2 linked regions of the Anolis sagrei genome follow. The protein of the gene in region 1 purifies or fractionates together with the protein of each later gene. This does not show direct contact. Links are inferred from orthologs where the notes say so. Each region holds a gene or a part of one and is shown on either strand. Other genes may lie near its edges.

What was found.
Region 2: the proteins of NEDD1 (region 1) and C3H10orf88 purify together in Homo sapiens (co-immunoprecipitation; 3 studies listed by BioGRID and IntAct, counting the BioPlex papers as one, with this or other methods). This does not show direct contact. The link is inferred for Anolis sagrei from reciprocal best matches to the Homo sapiens genes NEDD1 and C10orf88.

The regions. Positions count from the first base shown.
Region 1 is NC_090025.1:155,949,989-155,960,547, reverse strand, and holds the start of NEDD1 (protein NEDD1), read right to left. Parts: upstream 4,700-10,559; 5' UTR 4,351-4,699; intron 1-4,350. UniProt on the Homo sapiens protein: Required for mitosis progression. Promotes the nucleation of microtubules from the spindle.
Region 2 is NC_090023.1:199,482,808-199,493,057, reverse strand, and holds the start of C3H10orf88 (ATPase PAAT), read right to left. Parts: upstream 4,783-10,250; 5' UTR 4,689-4,782; coding exon 4,510-4,688; intron 1,809-4,509; coding exon 1,605-1,808; intron 622-1,604; coding exon 549-621; intron 1-548. UniProt on the Homo sapiens protein: ATPase that regulates mitochondrial ABC transporters ABCB7, ABCB8/MITOSUR and ABCB10. Regulates mitochondrial ferric concentration and heme biosynthesis and plays a role in the maintenance of mitochondrial homeostasis and cell survival.

The sequences.
Region 1 (10,559 bases):
GTAAAATTAATGCAGTTTGGCCCCAATTTAATTGCCATGGCTCAAAGACGTGGAATTATGCAAGTTTAGTTTTACAAGCACTTTAGCCTTCTCTGCTAAAGTGGTGGTGCCTCACCAAACTACAAATCCCAAGATTCCAAATCATTGAGTCATGGCAGTTAAACTGGAATCAAACAGCATGAATTCAACTGTGTGGGTGCAGCCCAGGTTAACTAAAATAAGCCTGGACAAAATGCCAACAAAGATCTTGTTAGAATTATAATGGCCATCCCACATACCTGGTCAACTTCTGTAAGTGCGTAAATAATAAATAGGACTAGGACCATTTTCGAAGTTACCAGATAATGGAAGCTTTCTCCCATGATACATGCAGAGAAACAGACACCAACTGAATAACGCCTGAGACACAAAAGATACACTTGTGTGTTAGACATTTCATTTACTGCACACCTCACCAACTGCTCAACAACTGCTCACAACTCAGCTCCTCAGCATTGAATATCCAGTAGTTAACTCAATGATTCCCAATATTTTTTGGCTATGCCCCACCTAAGTATCTTTAAAATCTTGATCCATGAAAAAGAAAAAAAATTAAAGGACAGTTGAACTACTGAGGGTGAAAGAACTAAGAAATTGTTAGAAGTTATATTTAAAAATAGGAAATAAAGCTTCAAAACATACAACAGAAAACTGAAATGCATAAATAAAAGCTTTTCCTGTAATGCTTTCATCAAATTCACTGTTAATAACTTATTCTTGAATTGCCCCTTTAAAAATCAAATTGCCCCCCCTGTGGGAACCAGGGAGTTAACTGGAAGAGCCACAACATATTTTGTTAGGATTATTCGGCGAGTGATAAGCCACAATTCTGGGCATGCTCAACTGAGACAACGCCCATTTGACAAGCACGAAAATCACAAAAAATACTAAGACTGTATGTTTGTGAGAGAAACAACTGGCATCTTGTTTGGTGGGAGAGGCATAAAAAGTGTCAGAAAATCTGTTCATAGTACTTTCTATTCTAACTGGACCAAATTGGATTCAAAATGCTTGGGAACAGAAGCAGTCTGGATTTGGACTTTTTTGGAATACTTGCAGATGCAACCCAATTCCAAACTCAACATTCATTTAGGCTTGCTATGTGCCTTAAGGCATAGCCTGAAGGTAAATTTACACCACATATTCTGGATCCTTAGATTCAGCCATCCATGGCAGCCAGATAGCTTACAGGAACATCCAGGAGTAAGCATATTACACCTATTCTAAAGTGACTGCACTGGTTGCTAATTAGTTTCTATGCAAAGCACAAAATATTGGTTTTGACCTCTAAAGCCTACATGGTTTAGGTCCAGGTTACCTACAGGATCGCCTTCTCTTCCACTCCAGGCAGCAGGTTAAAACCTTTTCATTCAGGCAGGCCTTTAAAGAAGGAAGTTTTTAAGATCATCAGGGGCTTCTGTGATTTTAATTAAAGTAAAAGTAAAGGTTTCCCCTGACAATAAGTATAGTTGGTTCCGACTCTGAGGGGTGGTGCTCATCTCCATTTATAAGCTGAAGAGCCTGCCTTGTCCATGCAGTCATGTGGCCAGCATGACTGCATGGAGCACCGTTACCTTCCCGCAGAAGTGGTACCTATTGATCTACTCACATTTACATGTTTTCAAACTGCGAGGTTGGCAGAAGCTGGGCCTAACAGCGAGAGCTCACCCCGCTCCTCAGACTCAAACCGCCAAACTTTCAAACCGCCGACTGAAAGCCAAAACCAAGGTCACAAAAACGTCTGTTATAGAACTCAAATATGCTGATGACAATGTTGTCTGTGCGCATTCAGAAGAAGCCCTACAAACCACTCTAAACACCTTCACAGAAGCATGCGAGAAACTCGGCCTCCCATTGAACACCGAGAAAACCAAAGTACTCTTCCAGGAGTCACTAGTCAATCCCTCTCCAATGCCAGAAATACAGCTTAACGGTATAACATTAGAAAATGTTGACCATTTCCGCTACCTTGGCAGCCACCTGTCCACAAAAGTCAACACTGACACTGAAATACAACACTGTCTGAGCTCTGCAAGTACAGCATTTTTCCGAATGAAGCAGAGTGTTTGAGGACCAGGAGATACGTAAAGAGACCAAGATGCTTGTTTATAAAGCCAGTATCCTCCCAACCATGCTATATGTCAGCAAAACGTGGACTGTCTATAGACGTCATATGCAACTCCTGGAACGATTCCATCAGCATTGCCTCCAAAAAATCCTGCAATCTCTTAAGAAGACAGGCAGACAAATGTCAGTGTGCTGGAAGAAGAAAAGACCACCAGCACTGAAGCGAAGCTCCTCCACCATCAACTCCGCTGGACTGGCCACATTGTCTGAATGTCTGATCACCATCTCCCAAAGCAGTTACTCTATTCTAAACTCAAGAACGGGAAATGGAATGTGAGTGAACAGAACTGTCGGAACTGAAAATGTAACTGAAGGCTCAATTCTTCTGGCAGGCTTACTTAGCTAACTTTCAATGGTAAGTTTTGATTTACATCAGTGGTTCTCAATCTTCCTAATGCTGCGACCCCTTAATAGTTCCTCATGTTGTGGTGACCACCAAACATAACATTATTTTCATTGCTACTTCACAACTGTAATTTTGCTACTGTTATGAATCGTAATGTAAATATCTGATATGCAGAATGTATTTTCATTCACTGGCACAAATACACAGTACACACAAATTTGAATATTGGTGGGGTTGGGGGGAATTGATATTGTCATTTGGGAGTTGTAGTTGCTGGGATTTATAGTTCACCTACAATCAAAGAGAATTGTGAACTCCACCAATTATGGAATTGAACCGAACTTGGCGCAACAGAAAGTACTGGAAGGGTTTGGTAGGCACTGAGTGTTGGAGCTGAAGTTCACCTACATCCAGGGAGCACTATGGACTCAAACGGTAATGGATCTGGACCAAACTTGTCACGAATACTCAATATGCCCAAATGTGAACACTGGTGGAGTTTGGGGAAAACAGACCTTGACATTTGGGAGTTGTAGTTGCTGGGATTTATAGTTTCCCTTCAATCAAAGAGCATTCTGAACTCCACCATTTGTTTTGTTTTGTTTTGTCATGTCAGGAGCGACCTGAGAAACTGCAAGTCGCTTCTGGTGTGAGAAAATTGGCCATCTGCAAGGACGTTGCCCAGGGGACGCCTAGATGATTTTTTGATGTTTTATCATCCTTGTGGGAGGCTTCTCTCATGTCCCCGCATGTGGAGCTGGAGCTGATAGAAGGAGTTCATCCACCTCTCCCTGGATTCAAACCTGCGACCTGTCGGTCTTCAGTCCTGCCGGCACAGGAGTTTAACCCACTGCGCCACCGGAGGCTCCATAACTCCACCAACGATGGAACTGAACCAAACTTGGAACAAAGAACACCCCTGACCAACAGAAAATACTGAGTTTGATGGGCACTGAGTTTTGGAGTTGTAGTTCACATACATCCAGAGAGCACTGTGGACTCAACACAAAGATGGATCTGGACCAAACTTGAGACCAATACTCAATATGTCCAAATATGAACACTGGTGGGGTTTGCGGGGAAACAGACCTTGACATTTGGGAGTTGTCATTGCTGTGATTTAGAGCTCGCCTACAATCAAAGCACATTCTGAACCGCATCAATGATAGAATTGGGCCAAACTTCCCACACAGAATCCTCATGATAAACAGAAAATAATGTGTTTTCTGATGGTCTTTGGGGACCCCTCTGACACTCTCATTGCGACCCCCTCAGGGGTCTTGATCCCCATGTTGAGAAACATTGATTTACATTCTATTGCTACTATATGTCAATTCTGTATCTGTGTTTGGTGCAAGTTTTTACATTTTTTGTGTTTTAGCTATGTGAGTTATTGTTTACATTTTATGCTTGTACCTTTTTGACTTTCGAGCCATCAGGAGAGGTGAATAAGAAGAAGAAGAAGAACTTTGTGGCACAGCTCAGGCATGGGCAAACTTGGTCCCTCCCTCCAGGTGTTTTGGACTTCAACTCCCACCGTTCCTAACAGCCTCAGGCCCTTTCCTTTTGCCCCTCAGCCGCTTAAGCGGCTGAGGGGCAAAAGGAAGGGGCCTGAGGCTGTTAGGAACGGTGGGAGCTGAAGTCCAAAACACCTGGAGGGAGGGACCAAGTTTGCCCATGCCTGGCATAATCTGAAGGTAAATGTATGCGACAACCCTGCACGGATTCGGTTCCCATGGCTTCACAACAATCCAAAACAAAATTCCAAGAGGCAAGCTGTGATTTTCCCCGTTGTGTATAAGGCCCGCAGTGAGACTGAAGGCACAAAAGATGCTTGCCTTGTTCCCAGGGGCCTGCAAGTCTGCCTATCTACCTTCTCAGCCACCGAATCCCCGAGGGAGAGGGCTTCTGTGGGGAGGGACCCTCCGCCTCCCAGATCCACGACGAGGCCTGAGCTCACCCTCGCACTTCACCCAGAAGAGACTTCTAGCCGGCCCGCATCATTTCCACGCCCTGAGGCGCCTCGGGCCTACTCCACACAGTTCCACCGCTTCCAAGAGACTTTCCCCGCTTCTTAAGAACTTAGCAGCCCGTCCCAACAGGCATTGCGAGAACGCGCCTGTCTCCTTCGCCTACGGCGGCCGAGAAAGGGCAAGAGAGTGCGCCGCGCTCTGCTTTTCCTGACCAGGATGAGGAGGAGGGACTTAGACTCACAAGGGGCAGCTGGAAAGGAGGCTAAGATTGCCCCGCTCGCAGCTTTTTTTTTTTCAAAAGAGGACGGAGGCATGTGATTGGACGAACGCATCTCACACGCTCTCTGATTGGTTCGCTTGTCTCTTCCTCCCTATGTTGTTGTTGTTCATTCATTCAGTCCTTTTCCGACTCTTCCTGACTTCATGGACCAGTCCACGCCAGAGCTCCCTGTCGGCTGTCACCACCCCCAGATCCTTCAAGGTCAATCCAGTCACTTCAATGACACCATCCATCCATCTTGCCCTTGGTCGGCCCCTCTTCCTTTTTCCTTCCATTTCCCCAGCATCACTGTCTTCTCTAATCTTTCCTGTCTTCTCATGATGTGGCCAAAGTACTTCATCTTGGCCTCTACTATTCTTCCCTCCAATGAGCAGTCAGGCTTTATTTCCTGAAGTATGGAGTGATTGGATCTTCTTGCTGTCCAAGGCAATCTCAGAACTTTCCTAATAAACTTTCCTCCAGCACCACAGTTCAAAAGCATCTATCTTCCTTCGCTCAGCCTTCCCTATGGTTCAGCTCTCACATCTGTAGGTGATTACGGGTCCCTATTCTAGTAGCAAAAGGAACTGCCAACCTGAAGATAACGTGTGTATACCCCAGGCATGGGCAAACTTCGGCCCTCCAAGTGTTTTGAACATCATTACTTTCTAATGGCTCAATGTACACAAACTTGATGCACAAAATTGTTAAAATTATTGTGAAACGTTATCTTCAGGTTATGGGCATGAATTGTATATGAAATACAACACTGCCTGAACTCTGTGAGTGCAGCATTTTTCCCAATGAAGCAGAGGGTGTTTGAGGACCGGGACATCCGCAGGGAGACCAAGGTGCTTGTTTATAAAGCTATTGTCGCCCCAACCCTGCTATACGCCTATGAGACGTGGACTGTCTACAGACATCACATGCAACTCCTGGAACTATTCCATCAGCGCTGCCTCCGGAAAATCCTAAAAATCTCTTGGGTAGACAAGCGGACAAATGTCAGCGTGCTGGAAGAAGCAAATACCACCAGCATTGAAGCTATGGTCCTCCGCCATCAACTCCGCTGAACCGGCCACATTGTCCAGATGCCCGACTACCGTCTCCCAAAGCAATTGCTCTACTCCGAACTCAAGAACAGAAAACGGAATGTTGGTGGACAGGAAAAGAGATTTAAAGATGGGCTCAAAGCTAACCCTAAAAACTCTGGCATGGACACTGAAAACTGGGAAGCCCTGGCCCTTGAGCACTCCAGCTGGAGTTCAGCTGTGACCAGCAGTGCTGTAGAATTTGAAGAGGCATGAATGGAGGATTTATTTATTTATTTATTTACTGTATTTGTATACCACCTTTCTCAGCCAATTGGCGACTCATGGCGGTTTCCAACAAATCAGTATACATAAAACATAATATAGATAAAAAACATTAAACAGTATAAGACATCACAAAAGCAATAAAAACAACATCATCAGCGTCTCATTATTCTCAAGCATTATCCAATTCCATTGTCAGGTCATTCGATTTCCTATATTAGCTACTCTGTATTTGTAAACCCTTGCTCAAATAGCCACGTTTTAACTTGCCTCCAAAACATCAAGAGGGAGGGAGCAATCCGATCTCCCTAGGGAGAGCGTTCCATAGCCGAGGGGCAACCACTGAGAAGGCCCTGTCTCTCGTCCCGGCCAAACGTGCTTGTGATGAAGGCGGGACTGAGAGCAGGGCCTCCCCAGATGATATTAAAGTCCTCAGTGGTTTGTAAGGGGAGATACGTTCGGACAGGTAAGTTGGGCCAGAAACATTTAGGGCTTTATAGGCCAAAGCCAGCACTTTGAATTGGGTCCGGTAGCAAACTGGCAGCCAGTGGAGCTGGCGCAACAAGGGGGTTGTGTGCTCCCTGAGCTCTGCTCCTGTTAACAACCTGGCTGCCGTTCGTTGGACTAGGTGAAGCTTCCGGACCGTCTTCAAAGGCAACCCACGTAGAGAGTGTTGCAGTAGTCTATACGGAATGTAACCAGAGTGTGGACTACCGTGACCAAGTCAGACTTCCCAAGGTACGGGTGCAGCTGGCGCATAAGTTTTAACTGTACAAATGCTCCCCTGGTCACCGCCGAGACCTGAGGTTCCAGGCTCAGCTATGAGTCCAGGATCAAACCCAAGCTGTGAACCTGCGTCTTCAGGGGGAATGTAACCCCATCCAACACAGGCTGTAACCCTATGCCCTGTTCGGCCTTGGGACTGACCAGGAGTACCTCTGTCTTGTCTGGATTCAATTTCAATTTGTTTGCCTCATCCAGACCGTCACAGCGGCCAAGCATCAGTTCAGGACTTGGACAGCCTCCTTAGTAGCAGGTGGGAAGGAGTGACAGAGTTGGACATCATCTACGTACAGATGACACCGCACCCTGAAACTCCGGATGATCTCCCTCAGCGGCTTCATGCATATGTTGAACAACATGGGAGACAGTATTGAGCCCTGACGAACTCCACAAGACAAAGGATGTGGGGTTGAACAGGTGTCTCCTAACAACACCTTCTGGGTGCGACCCTCCAGAAAGGACCAGAGCCACTGTAAAACAGTGCCCCCCAGGCCCATTCCGGCGAGGCATCCCAGAAGGATACCATGGTCGACGGTATCGAAGGCCACTGAGAGGTCCAGCAGAACTAACAGGGACACACTCCCCCCCCCCCCCCCCCCCCCGGCATTGATCATCAACTAAGGCGACCAAGGCTGTCTCGGTTCCATGTCCCGGTCTAAAGCCAGACTGTGCCGGATCCAGGATAAAAGAGAGAAACGTGCCAAGAGGAAGGTGCATCAAGTCATCCCTGACCGGGACTGCCTTCCACCTGGAAACCAATGGCCTCACAGTGGGAGAAGACGCAGATAAAGAATAGGGCTTCACAATTACCTATGGACCCACCGCCAGTACACTGATCCTGGAAGACTATCCTACTCAGACAATAAGGGATTGCCTAAGTATATGAAATGTCAATAACTTTTGTGTTCAGACAGGCCCCTTCTACACTGCCCCATATCCCAGGATCTGATCCCAGATGATATTCTTATCCCAGATTATATGACATTGGAGACCACATAATCCAGTTCAAAGCCGCAAATCTGGGATCAATTCCTGTAATATAGAGCAGTGCAGATCCAGCCATAGGGGCCCCATGGTGTTCCTAGGAAGGGGAATGCGCAGAGTTTATGTTGCCAGTTGTCAGCTTTCAACTCACTTATGACTTATGGAGACAACCTTAAAATGTTTCATTTATTTATTTATTTATTTATTTATTTATTTACGATATTTCTATCCCGCCTTTCTTGAATTCGAAGGTGACTCAAGGCATCTAACAAACAGGCAGCCATCCGAAGCCTAACAATATTTAATTAACAGAATTAAAAGTACGTTCAATAAAACCTTTAAAAACACATGAAACCAATGGCTTCATTGTTAGTCTGATTATCCAAAAATCATCGTCTGAGCCGTTCCAATGTTCACTTTCATCTAAGTCCGTGTTTGAATGTTGAATTAGATTCGGAAGGCTTGTTCAAATAGCCACGTTTTCACTTTTTTTTTCCGGAAGATCAAGAGGGAGGCCCTTGTGTCTTCCAATTATTCTCAGAGTATTCATTCTCATGGTAGTCTCTCATCCAAGTAGTAACCAGAGCAAACCCTCCTTAGATTTCAAGATCAGATGGGATCTGGTGACTACTTCCCAAAAAAACTTTTAAGACATGACTGTGGCCTTCTACATTGCCACAGAAAATCCACATTATCTGCTTTGAGCTGGATTATATGAGTCTACACTGCCATATAAACCATTTTAAAGCAGATAATCTGCATTTCTATGGCAATGTAAAATGGCCCTAAATTACATTATAACTATGAACCTACAGAAGAGAATTTTGTTCTTACATGGCATAATTTTTGAATTTTTTTTTTTTTTTTACTACAGTAGCTTTGGTACCCAGCAGTGCTGGTTGGGTAATTTGTAACATTATTTATTAGAAAAAATCATTGTTTTTTTAATTTTATGAATGGTCCCATTAAGAAAATGCACAAGAATGTGGTGCACTACAATTCTCATCATCTGGGTGTATGCCCACCCCACAAGTCTTTAAAATTGGTTATGAGGGGTATGTGTCCAGATCCATTGTCAGGGGAGTTTAAGGTGGTTGCTGGATGTGGGTGAATTGCAAATCCCATTACCCAAGGTCCACCTCCTCCAAAACTCAGCAGTACTTAAATTTTGTCATGAAAGGTATGCGTGCCATGTTTGGTCCAGATCCATCATCAGTGGGGGATCACAGGGCTTTCTGGATATAGGAGGGGCTGAAAATCCCTTCCTTCTAGGTCAACCATGAACCCCAAAACCCTCCAGTATTTCCTATTGGGTCACGGGGGATCTGTGTGCCAAGTTTAATCCAGATCTGTTGTTGACAGAAACTACGAGGTTTCCTGGAAGTGGGAACCAAGTTGGAAAATACCTATAGATACATACATACTCTTATTACATATACATTTACAGGGTATGTGTAGTCCCACTGGTTAGATATGTGTTGTTTGGAAAAAAAAGGATACTAGAACATGTGTACATGCACTTTTCATATGAAACTTTCCAAATTCTGATCAAAACTGTCAATGTGCAAGAGGCTGATATAGGTCACAGGAACATAAACTCACCATAGTTCTGTTGTTCTGTATGCAAACTTCCATTATATACAATGGCATATTACAATGATGTCTTCGGTATAAATTGGCAAAATTAAGATTTGGTTTCTTGGATTTAAAAAAAAATTCAAGCAGTGTTGAATGTGTGGATTGTCAAAATCTGTAAATTACCCAGCATTTCTCTAAGTGCTAACAGGATAACTGTCTCAGGATTAACCACAGGTTCCCTGTAATTGGAATGATGTGGTAGCTGAGTGCTGAGACTGTTACCTAAGGCCCCTTCCACACAGCCACATATAACCCAGAATATCAAGGCAGATAATCCCCAATATCTGCTTCGAACTAGATTATCTGAATCCACACTACCATATAATGCAGTTCAATGTGGATTTTGGACAGCTGTGTGGAAGGGGCCTTCGTTTGTAGTAACTGTGTTGAGTTGATGAGAATTGGAGGTTAGTGGATTGAAGTTGGTTGATGAAGATAGAAGAGAGAGAACTTGTGCATACTGTGTTAGTATTTGTACTATTACTGCAACTTAAGTGAGAAAAGCCTCCCAGTTGGAATGAACAGCTTTGTGTCTGCATGTTGTTTTTCTTCCTGAGGCGACCACATCTCTAACAGGAGTGAGGAGTCCCTTCCACTAGTCAACTGGGAATTTCAAACTGATTGGAACCCCTGACATAGATATGGGATGCTGTTGCTAAATAGACGAATGCATCTAGCCTTCTGGAAAATTTCAGTATGAGCTCTTTTTGGTGGGATCTTAAATGTGTTATGCTTTGTATTGAGGGGCAGGGGAGATTATGAACAGATGGCAAGTTCTTCAATATGACTCCCTTGTGTGTAGGAATATACACAAAGAAATTTCTTTCTCACTCTGCTCTAAACCCCATCTTTTATGGAAACAGTAGCCAGTGATCCTTTGTTGAAAGCTCTAATAGATTTGGAAACTTTGTCCAAAAAGAAGAAGAAAAGACCAATTGCTTATATCCACCTTTCCTGATTAGGTAGGGAATCTCAGTAATATTGTCAGCATTAGGGGAAGACATGTAAGAAGTCTCCAGGGCATTCTTCTAACAGGACATCTGTGCCCCTCGCTGTCAGAAAGATGAGTCTGCCAAGAATTACATATGACCATT
Region 2 (10,250 bases), on another chromosome or scaffold:
TCAGACCACTGGCCCATTCAGACTAGTATTGCCAGCCCTGACTGCTGTGCTCCAGGCAGACATTTTCCTTCTTAGAAATTTTATTTCCACTCATGTACTAACCAGGATGCTTAGTTTCTGGAATCAAATGAAACCATGTCTGCTCAGGATGGCACAGTAACTCAATAATCGAGGATGGATTATGAGGCAAAGCTGGCAGAAGTGTAAAGACTTTCCAAGTTCTGCATTTCACTAGGTTATTAAATGCTCAGTAATGGTAAAGATTATCTACTCTTCTTGCTTTGCCATTTTATATTGTTGGTTGCATTTAACTTTTGCCTTACCTAAAACTTTTCTAATTTATAAAATATATTCATTTTAATATTGCAGATAACAAAACAACAACCGTATATATAGAAATATGATATTCAATGCTAAAGAAATCTTCTTATAAAATTCCCTCTTTTTATATATTCCAGCATTCAAAACTGGAATTTTTTCTTTTATGTACTACTATCTTCCTTTAAAAAAGTAAATCAATACTAATATTTCAGAAAGTAACTTCCTACCTTAATCTTACAAGAGGCTGTGGAGCACTCCAGTTTAAGATATTTTTTGTATAATGTAACGTGGTCATTTTTGCTAGAAAATAAAATAAGTGAGCTGTGAAAAAGACTATACTAATACTATAACAATTTAACAGCATTTCACACCAAAATCCCCCCCAAAAATAGCAGTGTGCTCAGCTATTTTTAAAAGATATTGATTATATTAATATCTTAATAAAATGTTGCTCAGTGAAAAGCAACATTTTTACAAATGCTTGAACAATTCAATAATTCAATAGTTCAACAGTTCAATAATTCTGACAGCTTTCATGTGGCTTATCTAAGGTCAGAATTATGTAAACGTAGCAAAAACAATTACAGGCTGAACACCCTTCCTCTGGAAATTCAAAATACTCCCAGATTCAAAATTGTTCACATTCTTATATAGTAACACCTTGGTTTACTTCATGCACAGCATTATTACAAATATTGAATAAAACTGCCTCCACATTAAGTGCAATATATCTATAGTTATATCATAAATAAATTTTGTGTTAACACCTGAGTCTCATCTCCATGTAAAGGTAAAGGTTTCCCCTAAGTCTAGTCATGTCCGACTCTGGGGGGCATTCTCATCTCCTTTTCTAAGCTGAAGAGAGCCAGTGTTGTCCGTAGACACCTTCAAGGCCATGTGGCTAGCAGAAGCCGTACATATTGACCTACTCACATTTACATGTTTTCGAACTGCTAGGTTGGCAGAAGCTAGGGCCACCAGTGGGAGCTCACCCCACTCCCTAGATTCAAACTGCCAACCTTTCGGTCAGCAAGTTCAGCAGCTCAATGGTTTAACCCTTTGTGCGATCAAGGGGCCCCATATGCAAATATAGGTATTCCATAATCTGAAAAAACTGAAACCCAAAACGGTGTCTAAACTTATACATCAGTTATATACAGTCAATATCTTGGCAGGCTAGTAAAATGTTTGATAGTTAGTAATATTTGTAGACTTATGTGAAAGAATGCATATAACATCACTAGCATACAGATTGTTTCCATAAACAAACTGACAAAACTGACCTCTCGTGCTCCATAGTGCAGATTTTTTCTCCCCTTGCTGTTCCACAGTATTCTTCCCCAATGTAGACTTCCATGTTCCGTGCCTCACTCACAATGCCAAGACCAACAATTTCTTCTGATCCATAGGCGTCACAGTGCAAGTATAGTGAGCATGGAGTATTGTTGTCAGGGTTTAAGCGTCTTTCAAGAACAACAATGTTTTCGCTAGAAGGTGGGAAAGAAGTCAACTTAAATCTTAAGAATTCCATGCAAATAAACATTATTACAGTGGAACACAATTTGTTGCTATAAGTCAGAATTTATTTTTTTTTGTCGTGTCAGGAGCGACTTGAGAAACTGCAAGTCGCTTCTGGTGTGAGAGAATTAAGTACGTTGCCCAGGGGACGCCCGGATGATTTGATGTTTTTATCATCCTTGTGGGAGGCTTCTCTCATGTCCCCGCATGAGGAGCTGGAGCTGATAAAGGGAGCTCATCCGCCTCTCCCCAGATTCGAACCTGCGACCTGTCAGTCTTCAGTCCTGCCGGCACAGGGGTTTAACCCACTGCGCCACCGGTGGCTCCAAGTCAGAAATGACCTGAAGGCACACAAAAATAAAACTGTTGAAGGGCCGTAATATGTTTAGAAGTGCAAACTATCCATTTTGGGGGAATTTAATCATAGAATAATCACAGAATACCTATAGAATAATCATAGAATCAGAGTTGGAAGAGACCACATGGGCCATCTAGTCCACACCCCTGCCATGCAGGAAAAGCACAATCAAAGTACCCCTGAGAGATGGCCATCCAGCCTCTGTTTAAAAGCTTCCAAGGAAGGAACCTCCACCACACTACGAGGCAGAGAGTTCCCCTGCTAAACAGCTCTTACAGTCAGGAAAATATGTGTCTGTCTGAAAAGATAGATTTTGAGGCTCATGTTGTGTTGTGAACAACTGTAAAAAAGTTACAAGGTTATAGGTCCATCTCAGTTTCATAACTATTGGATGCTTGTCCATTGTGCCCTGCCTCATGTACAGAGGAGGAATTGTTGGAGGCTACAGACAATACCGTTGCTGTTGCCCATTTTTGGTAAAAAGATATTTAGCCACCTGTGTGCCTTCTATTTTTATCAGTTTTATACTAATTTATGCAAAGCTTTTGATATGAAATAAATTTCAAATCCCCTCTCTGGGCCCTTCCACACAGCCATATAACCCAGAATATCAAGGCAGAAAATCCCACAACATCTGCTTGAACTGGAATATCTGAGTCCACACTGCCATATATTCAAGTTCAAAGCAGATAATATGGGATTTTATTCAGCTACTAACCATCCCCTGCCATGCATATAAGTGTTTTGAATATATATGCATATCTAATTGTGTATTTGTGTGTTTATATGTGTATATGCATATTGTGTATATGCGTGTACTTGTCTATATGCATATTTGTGTGCATATATGCATGTATGTATGTGTATATGTTTATGTGTGTACATGTGTATATGTATATATGTGTGTATGTATATGTATATGTGTGTATATGTGTATATTTGTGAGGAAGTCACAGGGAGGAGGGAGCAAGCTTGTTTTCTGCTACCCTGGAGACGAGGACGCAATAGAACAATGGCTTCAAACTACAAGAAAGGAGATTCCATCTGAACATGAGGAAGAACTTCCTGGCTGTGAGAGCCGTTCAGCAGTGGAACTCTCTGCCCCGGAGTGTGGTGGAGGCTCCTTCTTTGGTAGCTTTTAAACAGAGGCTGGGTGGCCATCTGTCAGGGATGCTTTGAATGCAATATTCCTGCTTCTTGGTAGGGGGTTGGACTGGATGGCCCATGAGGTCTCTTCTGACTCTATGATTCTGTGGGTTTGTGCATATATATATGTGTGTGTGTGTGTCTGTATGAATGTGTGCATGTGTATATGTATATGAATGTATGTGTATATGTATATATGGTGTATTTTTGGGGTTTTTAAGTCTGTTCCTCTGAGGTTGTGTGTGTGTGTGTGTGTGTGATGGGGTGATGGACACTCGTTGGATTGTTAGGTGTATTGTGTCCAAATTTCGTGTCATTTCATTCAGTGGTTTTTGAGTTCTGTTAATCCCACAAACGAACATTACATTTTTATTTATATAGAAGATGTGAAAGGGGCCTAAGGTTCCTTCTACATTGCCATTTAATGCTTGCTGATTATCAAAGCAGATTATCCAGATGGCCTGCTTTGAACCTGAGTATATGAGTCTACACTGCCATACAATCCAGTCCAAAGCAGATAATGTGGGATTTTATTCAGCTGTGTGGAAGGGGCCTAGGGTTCCTTCTACACTGCCATATAATGCTTGCTGGTTGTCAAAGCAGATTATCCAGATGGCCTGCTTTGAACCGGATTATATGAGTCTACACTGCCATACAATCCAGTCCAAAGCAGATAATGTGGGATTTTATTCAGCTGTGTGGAAGGGGATACGGCTTCTTCTACGCTGCCATATAATGCTTGCTGATTGTCAAAGCAGATTATCCAGATGGCCTGCTTTGAACCGGATTATGAGTCTACACTGCCATACAATCCAGTCCAAAGCAGATAATGTGGGATTTTATGCAGCTGTGTGGAAGGGTCATAGGGTTCCTTCTACATTGCCATACAATGCTTGCTGATTGTCAAAGCAGATTATCCAGATGGCCTGCTTCGAACCGAATTATATGAGTCTACACTGCCATACAATCCAGTTCAAAGCAGATAACATAGGTGGTATATGGCAGTGTAGAAGAGGTCTCGGCCTTCTTTTCTCCCAGCTCCCTTAACTGCTCTTCGTAGATCTTGAAATCCAGGCTTATGATGAATGTGTTCGCCCTTCCAGCTTGCCAATAACCTTCTTGAAGGGCTCAAGGTAGGCCCCATCCCGCCTTCCCGCCTTCCTCACCCTTCCTTCTCCCAGGAGCCGAGCTCTCCTTCCGGGACGAGGCGCACCACGCTGGTCAGCTCAGCCAAGCACTCCCAGGAGCAGGCCAAAGAGAGGCGCGGGCTGCCGGCGAGCATGTCCCCTCCGCCGCCGGGAATGCCTTCTCTTTCCCGGGCCTTCAAGCTGCCCCCGCTCGCCATGGACAACGGGTGGAAGCGGGCCCGCCGGCCTGGGAGAAGAGAAGGGTTTGCAGCCGGAACTAAACATCGAAGCGCCGCGTTGCTCGCCGGACGTCATTACAGATTGGACTGTTCTGCCGCTTCAGCCGTAGACTTCAACTCCCAGGAGCCTTTGCTAAGCTAAACAATACGCGGGAATTCTGGGAAGTGAAGTCTCGAAGGACTGGAGGCCCAAAGCCTGAGAATGATTGGACGACAGCTTGGATTTCCTGGTTGTTGAGGTTCAGAGGAGGGAGCTAAAGGGAGCCAGTGGTTCAGAAGGGAGCCTGCAGCAGGAGCATCACCTTCCCATTCCTCCCTTTCAGAATAGTAGAGACAGGAGTGCATGCTGTGTTATACTCAGGTCTTCTTGTGCGTTTGGTGTGTGATTATTGCAAGGTTGAATATCCCTTATCGGAAGTGCTTGAGAACAGAAGTCTTTTGGATTTAGGATTATTATTATTATGGATTTATTTTGGAATGCTTTATTTGCATATATATATATATATATATATATATATAGGTAAAGGTTTTCCCCTGACATAAAGTCCAGTTGTATCTGACCCTGGAAGTTGGTGCTTATCTCCATTTCTAAGCCAAAGAGCCGGCGTTGTCCGTAGACACCTCCAAGGTCATGCGGCCAGCATGACTGCATGGAGTGCTGTTAACTTCCCGCCTTGATTTACTCAGTTTTTAACCAGTTTTTTAAACCATTTTCTCGCACATGTAGCTGCCCATTGTCACTGTGACTGTGTTTATTGTAGTCTTATATCGTTAATGTATTTATAGGTTTTATGCAATTATGATGCTGTTGTTTATTGCATGTGTTTTTGGTTTTATTTTGTTGTAATCTGTTGATTGGGCTTGGCCTCATGTAAGCCGCCCCGAGTCTCCATTGGGGAGATGGTGGTGGGGTATAAATAAAGATTATTATTATTATTATTATTATTATTATTATTATTTGCATGTTTTCGAACTGCTAGGTTGGCAGAAGTTGGAGCTAACAGCGGAAGCTCACACCACTCCTCGGATTCGAACCTGCTACCTGCTACCTTTCAGTCAACAAGCTCAGCAGCTCAGCGCTTTAACCCACTGTGCCACCGGGGCTCTCTGCATATATACAGCGGGTTAAACCACTAAGCTGCTGAACTTGCTGACCAAAAGGTCGATGGTTCGAATCCAGATAGAGGGGTGAGCTCCCGCTGTTAGCCCCAGCTTCTGCCAACCTAGCAGTTCAAAAACATGCAAATGTGAGTAGAAGGTAACAGCACTCCATGCAGTCATGGCAGGCACATGGCCTTGGAGATGTCTACGGACAACGCCAGCTCTTTGGCTTAGAAATGAAGGTGAGTACCAACACCCAGAGTCAGACACAACTGGACTTAATGTTAGGGGAATACCTTTACTATATATATGCGCAAATAATGCAGCATTATTGCATGTATCCAATAAATTTGCAACAACAACAATACTTTTTTACGGTCCATGACCAGCATAATAAATTTGCAAATGATTGAATACCTTGGAGATGGGACCCAAGTCTATTTTTGGGGAGGCTAAAGGATAACACTATGTAACAAAATTTGAGAAATGTTCTGTTCCTGGTTTGAAAGTGTTATTTCCTGTTTAATTATGTGGGACTTACTTTGAAAGTAGTTGTTATACTCCAGAAACTTTGTTTTTCTGGCTACCACAAATGATGTGGGATTGATGTGTTGTCGAAGGCTTTCATGGCCAGAATCACTGGGTTGCAGTGAGTTTTTCGAGCTGTATGGCCATGTTCCAGAACTTCTGAGGATGCCTCAAACAGACAAGGGTTCTTTCTCCCACCCTGGACATTCCATAGATATAAAAACCCAAATTTCCTTGTTTCCAACAGACCTCACATCTGAGGATGCCTGCCATAGATGTGGGTGAAACGTCAGGAGAAAATGCTTCTGCAACAGCCTGGAAAACTCACAGCAACTCTATATTGGATTGGTTGAGACTCTAGGACATATTCATTGAAACACTATAGCAAAAGGTGCTGCAGGATGTCCCGCAAAAACAAAGTTTTTGCAGTTTAATCCATTTTTCCATGTTTTTATGATAGAACCAAGTTGGAAATGACATTTATAACCAAGGAATAAAAATCATGTTGCATAGTGTAATTATCAAACCTGAAATTCACTTGTATTTCATATATACCTGATAATCATTGCCTGAATAGTTTTATACACAATATTTCTTAATAATTTTGGACACAAACTTTGTGTACATTGAACTATCAGAAGGCAAAGGTGTCACTATCTCAGCCACTCGTGTGGACATTTTGGAGTATTTTGAACTTCTAGGTAAGGGATGCTCAACCTGCTTTGGAATGGAGTGCTGTTTTTTAATGGGGGGCGGGGGGAGTTGTCAAATGATTTTGTTCTGCTGCATCTGGAGAAGGTGAGATGCAGACAGTGTTACGACAGATCTCTTTAGTCTGACAGAAATTACCATGTCAGACCACACAAAGAAGCCATTGAAATACACAAGCATGTGGATGATTTCAACAGAAAGGAGGAAACCATGAAAATGAACAAACTCTGGCTACCAGTATTTAAAAACTTTAAAATCAGGAAAGTAAATAAAGAGCAACACCCAAAAAGCAGGGGAATTCCAGACATGAATCAATCAGGGGCAGCTAACACCTCCCAACAAAGGATTCCCCCAGGCAGCAACCAGCCAAGCATTGAACCTGCAAGGCCATTAAATGCTAATCAAGGTGGCCATTTGCACCATTCCCACCAGCCTCCAACAGACAAGAGTTCTTTCTCCCACTCTGGATATTCCACAGATATATAAGCCTCACTTGCCTAGTTTCCAACAGATCCCTCAATCTCTTAGGATGCCTGCCATAGATAGGGTGAAACGTCAGGAGAGAATGCTTCTGGAACATGGCTATCCAGCCCGGAAAGCTCACAGCAACCCTGTGATTCCAGCCATGAAAGCCTCCGACAACACATAGTTATTGAAATGGTTGCTACCTGACATAAGGTTTTCCCCTGACATTAAGTGTAGTCGTGTCTGACTCTAGGGGTTGGTAGTCATCTCCATTTCTAAGCCAAAGATCCCAAGTTGTCCTCAGACACCTCCAAATTCATGTGGCCAGCATGACTGCATGGAGCGCCATTACCTTCCTGCGGGAGCGGTACCTATTGATTTACTCACATTTGCATGTTTTTGACCTGCTAAGTTGGCAGGAGCTGGGCTAACAGCGGGAGCAGGTTAAACCGTTGAGCTGCGGAATTTGCTGACCGAAAGGTCGGCAGTTCGAATCTGGGGAGCGGGGTGAGCTCCCACTACTTAAATAACAAATTGTTTGAAATTCCTATTGACATCAAAAACATTATAAAGTAATGATGATGAGAAAGATCATACAGACAAACCCACCAGTTTGGACTTTAGAATTTAAAACTAGCTAATGCCATCCTCTTTGCCCTTCTTTTAATACTTGTTATAAGCAGGGGTGAGGCCAGACTAATCACTCTTTAGAAATCCAAATGCTGATATCATTTTCAAAGCACATGCCATAGTTTTCTATTAACATTTTGTCCTTTTGGTCATAGTATGCCAGTTGCTAAGTAACCTGTAAGTATGGAAGCAGGAAGCTTACTTATCGGCGAAGTCATCAGTTTCAGGATGGGAAAATCAACTACACCTTTTTCTCAAAATAATAAAAGTGGGACCAATTAGAACATATGTTTTCCTTGTGGTGGATGTTGGGAGTGTTGACAGTAAATACACTTTAACTTAAGCACACTTTAACTACACAGTTATTTTTAGTTGGACCGTAAACTGGTTAAATATCTTCCCACTGACGTTAAGAGAATCAGATCAATGTAAAACCAGGTATGCTAGCATTGGTAGGTTGAGTACTGCATCCAAGCAGTTAGACCACAACACAAATCAAAGCTCTTTTCCTAGTCCTTCATACTAGATATTTATACTGGATGCGCACAACATTGCTGCTTTCAGGTACATAGAAAGATTGGCTTCTCTGACTGTACTTGCAAGATAATTGTTTATTTTAAGGCTTGTAAAATTTACAGCTCCAGCCAATATGTCCATAGGGAAGCTAGTCCAAAATAAAATAAAGTAACTTTCCCAATTTCTGGATGTCAGCATATGAAAAGTATTACATCTGAAATAAATCATTGTTTTGGGTCACCAGTACTGTCTTCTACAATGGCACCAGTGTTGGTGATTTCAGAACCTCATCTGTTGTTTGAATTTAAAATGGAAAATCACACAATCTATATTTTTGTACTTCAGTTGGATCACAGAACACTTAAATTACATATCTTTTTTTTTTGGTGGTAAGGTTGACAAGACATCATAGCAAGTGAAACTTTTGTAAACTGAAATGTAAAGAGGTTTTACAGAATCTGAAATACTTCAAATGTGAAAACTCCTAGGCTTGTTTTCTCAAAATTTGTACATTGACACAATTTTTTCATCCCACTTGGATATGAAAATTAGAGGTGCCACTGTTTCCTAGATATAGGTCAAATCAGTTGTCCTAGTTTGAAATACCACGTGTCTGTCAGCAAATTGCATGATTGATCACTCCCACCTTGTTATCTCTATATAATATAGTTGTTAAATGTTAAAATGATATTTATTGATCTCTTACATTTGGAATGTTAACTATAGGGAAAAATCACAAACTTGTTAAGTCTGCAATCTTGTGTCTTATTTACCAGTGAGCAATTCCTGCTGCACTTTAGAGGACTTACTTCTGAACAGACATGCATATGACAGTACTATATGCACGAGTTTCACAAATAAAAAGGATAGATAGCAAACTATCCCTGATGTTTTGCTTTGTTGGTAAATTTCAGCTGTCAAAGCCTGAAAACTCAACGGCTTTCTGTTGATTTTAATTGATTCTTTCCAGCAAAATATTGCTGTGATACGACTAAATGTGCCAGCAGTAGTATATGGTGACACCAGTGGAGAATCTCAGAAACAACTATGGTGGCATCACAGTTAACATTTATTAGTATGGCACAGAAGAAGGCCATAGTAAATGGCCATTTTGTCCATTAGCAGTCTGGGCGGGAGGCGGGTAAGGAAGCGTGGGTAAGAAAATAATATATAAAATAATGTATGAATACTAAAATTAATATATGTCCCTACTTTGCAGATTTTCACTTATTGCGGGTGGTCCTGGAACGGAACTCCCATGATAAGTGAGGGAACACTGTAATTGGATTTAATTGGAGAGTTAAATTTTCCTCTATTGCTTAAATGTATGCCATTCAGTTTGTGTGATAGCACTATGATTCTACTTTAACTGCAATGGCTGCATCCTATGGAATCCTGGGATTATTATTTGATGAGAGACTAGTGCTCTATGATGAAGAATTTTTAAGCATCTTCGTGCACATGAGAATCTAAATGCACAGAATGTAATAGCACAGTTTGTTCTCCAACTCCTCTTCAGATCCACCCTCCAGGGATTGTATATTACTGATTGCATTTGAAATTCCAAGGGTTGGATAAACAAACACACTT